Schizosaccharomyces pombe: one gene and its partner. The protein of the gene in region 1 interacts with the protein of each later gene in a biochemical or structural test. Each region holds a gene or a part of one and is shown on either strand. Other genes may lie near its edges.

Region 1 (4,832 bases):
GTATAATCGATGCATTGAAAAGGGTGGATGAAATTGTCGTACCACAAAACAATTTCCAATCTGCTTTAGAACATGCGGTTCCTGTTTCGTTAGACACCCAAAATTTGTCGCAACAAAACTTGTCAAAAAGTAATTCAGACGTCCGTCTTTCCACCTCTTCGCCATCTATTACAGTTGATTTCTCTGCTGATAAAGAGACTGATGAAAAGCGTGAAAGGAATTGCGACAAGCAAGTCAAAGCTGCTCAAAACATTCTTCCCGAATGGCATGCAACATCAACAATTTCTGGCTCCATTACTCGTGCTGGAGCTAAAGATGCCGCACTTCATAGTTTTAGAACTGAAACTGTTAATGAGGTTCAAGACACTAAAACAGATATTACTTCTGAAAAGAGCGCCTTAGATGCTTATTACGCAACACTTCGTGCAAAGCAAAAAGAGGAAAGCGAGTTTATGGACAGTGAAAACGTAGATGATGAGGAGGATGATGACTTCTTAGACGTTACGACGGCTACCTCTCTTCAAAACAAAAGTACTGATTATGGGTCGGTCAAGCGTAAAACCGAGAACCTAAATTCAGATAGTGATATCCAAAATAAAAGAACAAAATCGATAGAAGAAAACAATTCATTACCACCTATTGTTTCTACAAATGGTATTACTGATGGTGATACGGAAATGCAAGAAAGTAAAAAGAATGTTATTATTAATGGATTTAATGAGGACGATGAAGACGATGAAGATGAAGCTGATTTTGAAGATGTTTAATAAAAATGACATAGGGGAGAGAGCAATGTGATACCAAAAAACAAAGGTGTTTATACCTATGTATTCATAGAATCTTTTTGTAATAAATAAATGTTAATTTATTTTTTTAACAGTATTCATCAGTGCACGTATCCTGCTAACTATAATGGCAGCTTCCAAGGCGGACAAAACTTCAAAATCATACCTGAACTCGTTAGCTTATTAGCGTTAAAAAATTTCTTACCGCTTAGTTTCCCTATTCTTGGACACAATCATTTTAAAATTACATGGTGATTTTTTAGACTGCTTGCATAAAATAATCGATCCAGCATGTATACTGGACGTCTTAGGCGTTTCAAATATATTTTTGGATTCAGACGGCATTATGTGAACGTATTCTCCATCAATAGCTAGTAGACGCTCATGTCTTCCCATAAATGAAACAGGTTGTCGTTTCCATACAAGAAATTCTTGATAGGTATTGCTCGACATAATATCTGTTGCATTGTATGTTGAAGATTGTGCATCTTTCTTAATAGATCCATAAACGGAATTTTGTGGTGAGGAGGTTGGCAATTGTTGGGTACTTCCTTTTTTATCGCGTACCTTCTTTTTAACAAGTTCTAGAGTTGGATTTCCGTCTAGTGAACTAAATGTTTTATCAAGTGGTAAAACAGTATCAGATCCAGCAACTCGCAGAGTATACTTAAATCGCTCCAATTGCTTCATCCAACACACCTGGTTCAACACCATAGCCAATCTAGTAGTTTTTGATATTTCAATATTGCAAAATCGAGCATTATCCCCGTATGGGGGAAGTCGTACCTGTACGACATGAGAAGTATTAAGTGTATCTTTGACATCCTGAGCTTGCTTTTGTGATTGACTTGAAGTTGAACTAGTATGCCGAATATGCGTTTTGTTATTGGCTTCAGGAATTGATGTTGGATGCTTCGATTTAAACGGGTAGGCAGCTTGATTTTCCTTTATTTGGGCAGGAGTGGCTTTAACTAAAGCAAATGCGTCAAAACCAAATTTTGATAATGGACCTACACGGTCCAAAGCGGGAAAATCTTCATCTAGCTCCCCGTCATCTTCAACAATACGTAAATTCCAATAATTCGGATTTTGAGCCTCATCTTCTATTGGGGGCACGAGTTGCTGGTTAACGTATTGAAGTAAAATATAACCGATAGCCTCAGAGACCAAAACATTCTTTCGGAGTTCTACAAATAAGGGCTTTGAAGGACTTTCGCTCGAAGGAAAATAAATGTTTAAACGGAGGGCATTTGATTCTGCATGTCCAGAAAAAGTAGCAAAATTTTCAGCCAATGGCCCATTCTGGCTACTGTTTTCTTTATGTTCAAGTAATGCACGAAGAGCAGATGTAGGAGCCTTTGCGTTCGAAACAGATCTTGCTTTATTGACTGTATTGTGTGTTCCGCGTTGCTTACCAGGAAAAAGAGCATCAACCGCAACAACTGCATCAGCTTCAGTGTCAGTTAAGGAAGAATTCATTGGAAAAGTAAGAGGAATTTCTCCTTGACTTAAATGAAATGATTCCTCAGAAATCGACCGTAGATCATCATAATCCGTAGAAACACTGCTTTGCTGGTTTATGGAAGACTGTTTGGACGAGGTTAAATTCACTGCCTGCGAGGATTCTACCATGTTGGTAAGCTTAAGATTTGCGATAGCATCAATATTATTTAATGTGGAAATTTTGGGGTCCAGTCTTTCCTCTTCTTTTATACTTGCAACATCCTTCTGCATTGGGACTTTGCTAAAAGAAAATATACACGAGTTATCGTCATCACCCACATCTGAAGATTCGGATAAGTCAGAAGTAGCATAATCAGAATCTTCAGCTCGAGAATGATTAACTTGACCCCCAGCACCATTTACTTGTTTAGTATCACTCGGCTTTCGGACATTGGATACAGTGTCATTAGCGACAATCGGGGGACTTGAAGAAAACGAAGTTTTAGAATAATCATAATCATGAATCAACAAGTCTTGCAATGATTTGTCCAATTCCCATTCCGGGGCCTCAGTAGATATAACTCGATTTTCGATTGAGTCAGGAAGTATATGAGAATATTGCATTCGCAAAAATGTTAACAAAAGACTGTAAAATAAACGTATTAGTTTGTATAAGTTTCATAGGAAAAAAAATAGTATCCTTACACTTTCTCTCTTGTTAATTCCATTCTGAGTCCTTATTATATCGCATTTACAGACTTTATAAAATATTTAATTTCAACGAAGTTTGAATACTTAGCGACCATACTTTTTATGGCACCTTAATATAGAAAATTTGTAAACTCAATTATGTGAAACGTTGGTGACGGACGCCGCGTGCTTTATTTCAGTTGCTATGTATCCCCCGCTAAGCATTTAATTAAGTGTTGGGGGTAACACCGTAAAGTACCACCAAATTTCAAAAGACAGCAAAATATGAACGAAACTATTAATTCAAACAGTTATTAACTGAAGTACAAAAACGCTAGACAATGAAAAAAAGTGATCTCATATACGTTTTAGATATTGCGAAACAGCTAAAAATGGTATTTGAACTATATAGCAATTACGGTATTAATTATTTACAGAATAATGTAATTAAATTATTGTGGAATTTTTATTTTTTGAAGTTTCTCAAATGGCAAGCTTACGACTTAATAAATTCACTCGACAACGCCAAGCTAGAGTATTTTAAGGAATTTGATTTATTTACAAAGCCAAGATAAACGTTTTGAGACAACTTATTTTGACAACGTTTCTTCGGATCAAGGGAAACTTTCAAAAATGAAGTATTTTGCAACTGAAGTATAAATATACATGGGGAGTAGTAAGTAATTGCTATCCGATTTTTAACAGCTTATATAAAACGAGCTCATTTCAACCGAATCTAGCTTCTCGATGGTAGATAAAATGAACATTATGTATTATGCGAGGGAAACAACAAAACCAATGAAAAATGCAAGACGATATAGATAAAGGAGAAGATAAAGACCAAATGTGATTTAAATAGAAAAAGTGAGGTCGAAGCAAATGGTCAATTTAAAAACTCAGCGAAAGAAATGATTTGGTCCAATTTTTGTGAACCATTGAACATTGCCCCAAATGCTGACGAAGTGTAGACATCCACTCATCTTTTTCGCCGACGGTTTCAGCGTAAAAATCGATGTAGTCCCCATTACTGAAAATGATACGGAAACCCGATTCGAAATACAGATACCCTTCTAGTTCTTCTTCATCACTATAATGGTTGTCATCCACGATATGTGTGGCTTCAGACAAATCAATCGTTGCTCTGCGAACTTTAGAGAATTGTTGAAAAGCTACTAACTTTGATCCTATTAATTGAAAATAGCGACGACGCCAATAAGGGCAATCCCCACCTTGTTGACATAGATAACCATCACACAATAAAGTTCTATCCCATTCAGCAAGCTTTAAGTCATACATGGCAGACTCGATTGAAGCGGGAAGTTCTTTCAGAGAGACAGGAAGCGCTGGTAAGAAAAATACGTGGATTTCGAGTTCTCCTACTTTTCGAGGGAGAGGCTTGACATCTTTAGCTGCCGGATCAACAGTCCATTTGTTCATGATTGGTAGAACCATAGATTGACAACGGCCTAGTGCGGTTCGGCTTACAGAATCAGTGTTAATGGTAACTTCGCCGAAAGTTCCATCTTCAGAAACAAATCCATGAAGTGCTTCTGAAACGGGGTCGGTAGTCATAGACTTTCTCTTATTTGTTGAAAATACTTTTCCAAGTGTAGAACGAGTGCGAACCTTAGGTGGATCGTAAGCCGCACGGAGCGTACATACAATTGAAGAACTAATACTTTCATCAAAAGTATACTCATTTTCAATTTTAGTAGTAGAGTGTAAGGCGTTCCATGGTACTTGAATGTGCTTACCAGAGATTGTATAAGTGAACCTAGTGGTCATCCCCGATGCCAAAGGAATAGTTAAGTTTCTGATTTCCATAAGACGGACAAACAATCTTCCACTCCCGCCGGTTTGTTGCAAACTACTGGACAAATTTCGCGATAACGATTCTGGCATATAACAAGAATT
Region 2 (5,277 bases), on another chromosome or scaffold:
TCTTACTCGTCGGGCTGTTCGTAAACAAACCATTTTCAATCACAACCTTTTAGATTATCGACGGCTACAGGCGAATGAGAAGCGCATGTCAAAAGAGGAACGAAACTTACTTAATAAAACAAAAGCATTTGCTCGACTTTTGACGGGCCCTGATTACCAAAAGTTCGTGAACAGCTATCACGAGCAAATAACCCTAAAAAAACAAATTTCTGATTTACAGGAATGGCGACAGATGGGTCTTACTACACTCGAACAAGGACATAAATATGAACGCGATAAAACGCAAAAATTCCTCTTAAGTAAAGCTTCTGCTTCATATGATAAGCAATTGAGGCATGTTAAGTCGTTTAACCAAACCACTTCCGCTCCTTTTCAAGTTCGTGACATTCAAAAGATTGTTCCTCGAAAACCAGCGACTCCCACAATGTTTTCTGCTTCCGCTGATCGGCAACTGCTTTCAGAGGATGAGCAAGCGCTTTGCTCAAAACTGCAGATTTTCCCTAAACCATTTTTGGCTCTAAAATTTGCCTTAATATCGGCTTCACTGACTTCCAAAAAACCATTTCAAAAAACCGATGCAGTTAATTTATTTAAACACTTAGACGCTAATAAAGTCGAACAGGTGTACGACTTCTTCCATAATGCTCGGTGGATTGGCGCTCCAACCTAAAAGTACTGGTTTCTTTTACCTTTTTCATATTACTCTTGTTTATTACCTTTACGTTTTGAAATGTAATTTTACTAATTACCCCTTCACCTTTAATTACATCTCCGTCTTTTTTTCCCTTTTCAATAGCCGTTACGTTCTTATGCTTAATAATTAAAAAGAGTTTTCCATCAATTTTCTACACTAGTAATTTCGGAAACTACAAGAACAAAAAACACTACATCCAACAATATCTGAGACTTTTTCTCAGCTGACAAAAAATAAATAATCTTCAAAGACTTGAGGTTGTCAGTAATAATAATAATAATAATGATAATAATAATAGTAATAGAAAATGATCTTGTACGACAAAAAAAGATGACAATAATGAGAAATGAACGAAGCTTTGGCCTTTATAACATACAAATATGTAAAAGAGGCAAGAAAAGCGGCATGTATGAGTAAAAATGAGAAAACTTTCAAAATAAACAAAGAAGTGTCAAATTCATCACCTAATGACACTTCCAGGTGCTATTGTATTAATGTCGTCGGATGTATCAATGGTTGTTGGTCGTTGATAGCTCCAATTGGCAAACCTTTGTTGAACGGTTTCAGATAAGTGAGAATCGGCAACAACACTATCCATTGGGATTTCCGATGTAAATTCAGAATCAAAATTACTAGTATCGATAGCTGATTCAACGCTTGGTTTAAAGGGTGGCTGTATCTTCTTGGCGCATAACTTTTTCCAGTCGATATCATCAAAGAAAGGGTGATTTTTTATTTCTTGCGCCCCTCCACTACCCAGCCGCTTCTCTGGAGCGCGGGTCAACAATCCACTCAATAAATCTTTTGCTTTCTCGTCAATGTTGTCTGGGAATCGCAAGGGATCTTGAAGAATTTTTCGGTACATTTCGTTTATATTTTCATCATAAAAAGGAGGAAGTCCTGTAATCATTTCGTAAAGTAGCACACCTAAAGTCCACCAGTCAACAACTTTTGTATAACCATGACCCAAAAGCAATTCAGGAGCGAGGTATTCAGGGGTGCCACAAAAAGTATTCGTTCTATCGGTTTTAGCCATGTTTAGCTTACAAAGTCCAAAATCACACAAAGCAATATGACCGGTGTAGTCTAATAATATGTTTTCCGGTTTTAAGTCTCGATAAATAACGTTGAACTCATGCAAACATTCCAAAGCAACAAGTAGTTCAGCAATGTAAAATTTGGCACGATATGTATCAAAACAGCCTTCTCTTTGTAAGTGATGAAATAACTCACCACCGTTAACAAAGGCCAGGACAAGATACAGCTTACCGGGAGATTGAAAGGAGAACTTTAATGGAACAATAAAAGGGTTATTAACTTGAGCAAGTACTGTCCTCTCAGCCAATGTGTGATCTACTTCACTGCGAGATACAATGTGGGCTTTTTTCATAGTTTTTAAAGCATAGATACGAGAAGTGTCACGCTTACGCACTTGCATGACTTTTCCAAAAGAGCCTTTGCCAACCACTTTCAATAGTTCAAATGCATCAATGGTTAAAGGGGTACTTTGATTGGGTTTGTAAAGCATTTGAACACGAAGTTCACCGCTACCCCCATGCAGGGGTACCCATTCGTCTGTAAGCTTGTTTACAATGAAAGAAGGCGACAGTTTAATCCCGCCTAGGAAAGCGTCATTCCCCATACCGTTGCGCGAGCGGCTGGATGAAGAACGAAGGTAAATATTCAGGGAGAGTTTGGAATAACGGGAAACGTCAAAAGTTGCCTGATAATCCCAGCAAGGATTTTCAAGGCTTGCAGTATTTAGAGCATCTACTAAGATTTCATTTTTGTCGAATTCAACGACGATATAAGGTAACCACCAAGCATGACTACGAGACCTTGCGTGTCCCGAGCCATTACTAAGTGGAGGGGCAAGTAAAGAATTGTCAATGGAAACCCCGTAGTTGGCAGGAACATGTCCCGACGGTAATTTTAAATTTCTAGCTTCTATAATTGTGACCTGCAATAAACCAGGCTGCACGACGGTACTTTGGGGAGACCGTTTATCCTCCGAGCTTTTCCGAGATTTTTCATCACTTGATTTACGAGAAGAAGTAGAGGATAAAGTACTGTTTTTCAGACCTCTAGTAAAACTAGAGCCGCCAGAGTTCAGGCCAATAGCGGATGCTAGATGAGTTTCTTTTAATTCTAAAAAGCGAAAAGCTGTTAGTATGAAAAAGAAAGACAGAGTGTGATAACCCGTATTATGGAATACATACTCTTTGTAAGTTTCCAGGACATTTCGGTAACGTCTGTTTGGAGTAGAAAAAAAAAATGAACTGATTTTTAAAAGCTCGCTTTCCCTCTATCTTTTCTTTTAATATAACGAAAATGATAAAGAATAAGGTAACGAGGCTGCAAAAAAGCTTCAATCTAACAAAAAACGTATTTATGGACTAATTCGAAGACAAAAACGGGAAGTGTACCAGTAAGCGAATACGAACGAACAATCAAATCAAATCCAAAAAAAAAATAAAATAAAAAGTAAGCACAAGTTGCAATTTTTTTTGAATAAACGAAAGGGGATACAGGCGTTTGGTAATGTCAGTATAGTAGTAAATTCGTCAAAGAAATCTAATCCCGATAAGTAGTAAGCAAGGGTGTTGATTTTAAAATTCAAAATAAATCGCAATCTCTTTTATTCCAAAATCCCTACTAAAGGAATGCTTCGTTGATAAAGTCGATTTCTAAGCCGATTTTGGTATTACGACTTTGAGCAAAGTCGCCTTCACCTCGCGGAAATTTTGACGAAATTGAAACCAATCGACAGCACTAAATACGTTAAAGTCAATGAAATAAAATTTGATGTCAAAAATGCTTTCGTTTGATATTCCCTTTGTTAGGTCGTATTGGCAGTCAGTAGATGTGGCCAGCTCGGATCATCCGTATTCCTAAAATACAAGTGGTACAAGACAGCAGCTTTTTGCGGCAGAACAACGTGAGTTCGATAAAATATTATAAGGAGAGCTACCGATACGGTCGGCACATTACGCAGGTTTGTCGTATAATGATCAAAAATTATAGACCCTTTTCTCGTACGATTGCACTATATATAAAAGTTCTTTGCAATGGTGTTTTACATATCAGCTATTAAATTAGTTAACTTAGTAATGTCAAAAAGATGGAATATTAATATAGAGAAATTAAAAGTGCTGGTGTACTCTTGTAAGTGGTAACTTGCTCAAGTTTGTAGTGACCTAAATTGAAACATAGGATTTATACTACACGTGTCAAGAAACAGCACTCAAATGGATCAATTTACAAAACGAAGTATATAGCAAAACAATACAAATAATTATCTTGACAATTATCTGCGGACAAACGCAAAATGCCGTTTACGCGTATGTGTAGCTTAGCAGACCAATTAACTTTATTTGTTTTAAAATAATTATAGAAGCATGTAAATACCACCGTTAGGATTGCAATATCCTCTTTACAAAACAAGTCATTTATTTATGCCTTCCATCAGATTTTTGCAACTTCCAAGTACGATGCGTTTTGTAAAATTTCAGTTCCTTGTGCAACAAGCGAAAAAAAAAGATAAAGCAATTTAACGGAAAAGCAATTTGTATACCAATGCTCTACTTTTAATACACTGGACGCTTCGTACAAGTCCTTCAAAGTGTATATAAATCCAAAGAGAACTGAAAAACAAAAAACATTTTCAAATAAAATAAAATAAAATAACATATAAAACAGAAATAAAACATGAACAATGAATTTATGAAAAGAACGAAATTTGTTGAAACTGATGACTCACTCAACTGTAGGCAAACCCTTACTTACCCATGAGAAAAGCAAATTCTTTTCGTAGTTACTTCTAGAAGGCTCCTCACTAGTAAAAGCGATGTTTCTTCAGAGTTTTGAATTTTCTCACAGAGAGCTCCCTTTGTGTGTTTTATTTAAAGGGATGAGACGAGTTTGCCAAAGCGCCTAAAAAAAGAAACCGGTTATCGAGCGCAGATATAGAATTGACAGTGTAAGTAGCAACAAAAATTTTAAAAGAGTAAAGTAGAATCAAAAACTATATCTAAGTTTAGAAAATCCCTAAAGAGAAATTTTCAGGTGAATGTTAGGGGGTAGGTTCCGGTTGAATTTTTAAAGGACTAAAGCGGCAAAAGCAGCAATGCTCAAGAGTGAAACAATCAATAATGAACTCTTGGAAAACCGGACAGGGGACCCACTCTCCATCAATTCGCGCCCTGTATTGGGAATGGATGCTGCGTATCCAATGGATCCGGCAGGTGCAGAAGTGTAAGTAGTAGATGGTTGATATTCGGTGTAACTATAAGGACTAAAAATAATATTAGTAATTTTACACAAACAAATAGTTTCCATAAAATGACAAGCATGACTTACAAAATGGTTTCTACACCATCCGACCAAGATTTGTCGGTGACAATCACAACATCGCTCACAGTAGTAGAGTAACTTGCCTGAGTTGAACTAGAATCATCATCCCTCTTAACAAATGGGGTCAAAGGAATTTTTGAGGGCAAAACACGATTAGCTAAATATACTGAGTTAGCTATTTCACATAGTCACAAAATATAAAGACAGAGACATAGAGAATAGAGAAGGGA

What was found.
Region 2: the proteins of sin1 (region 1) and gad8 form a complex in vitro, tested with the Schizosaccharomyces pombe proteins (one study listed by BioGRID).

The regions. Positions count from the first base shown.
Region 1 is NC_003424.3:4,745,333-4,750,164, forward strand, and holds sin1 (MAP kinase-interacting protein Sin1), read right to left. Parts: upstream 3,096-4,832; 5' UTR 2,957-3,095; coding exon 2,934-2,956; intron 2,891-2,933; exon of another isoform or gene 2,875-2,890; coding exon 991-2,874; exon of another isoform or gene 952-990; coding exon 861-951; 3' UTR 768-860; downstream 1-767. Other genes in the region: transcription factor TFIIE subunit Tfa1, read left to right, coding at 1-767; mid2 (septin ring organizing protein), read right to left, coding at 3,807-4,832. UniProt on the Schizosaccharomyces pombe protein: Component of the mechanistic target of rapamycin complex 2 (mTORC2), which regulates multiple cellular processes to control cell growth in response to environmental signals.
Region 2 is NC_003421.2:910,775-916,051, reverse strand, and holds gad8 (serine/threonine protein kinase (AGC family) Gad8), read right to left. Parts: upstream 3,553-5,277; 5' UTR 2,936-3,552; coding exon 2,914-2,935; intron 2,843-2,913; coding exon 1,155-2,842; 3' UTR 814-1,154; downstream 1-813. Other genes in the region: SAGA complex subunit Ada2, read left to right, coding at 1-670; SPOM_SPCC24B10.06 (uncharacterized protein), read right to left, coding at 4,793-4,988, 5,054-5,204. UniProt on the Schizosaccharomyces pombe protein: Involved in a signaling module for sexual development and cell growth under stressed conditions. Required for G1 arrest under nitrogen starvation and for growth at high temperature and osmolarity.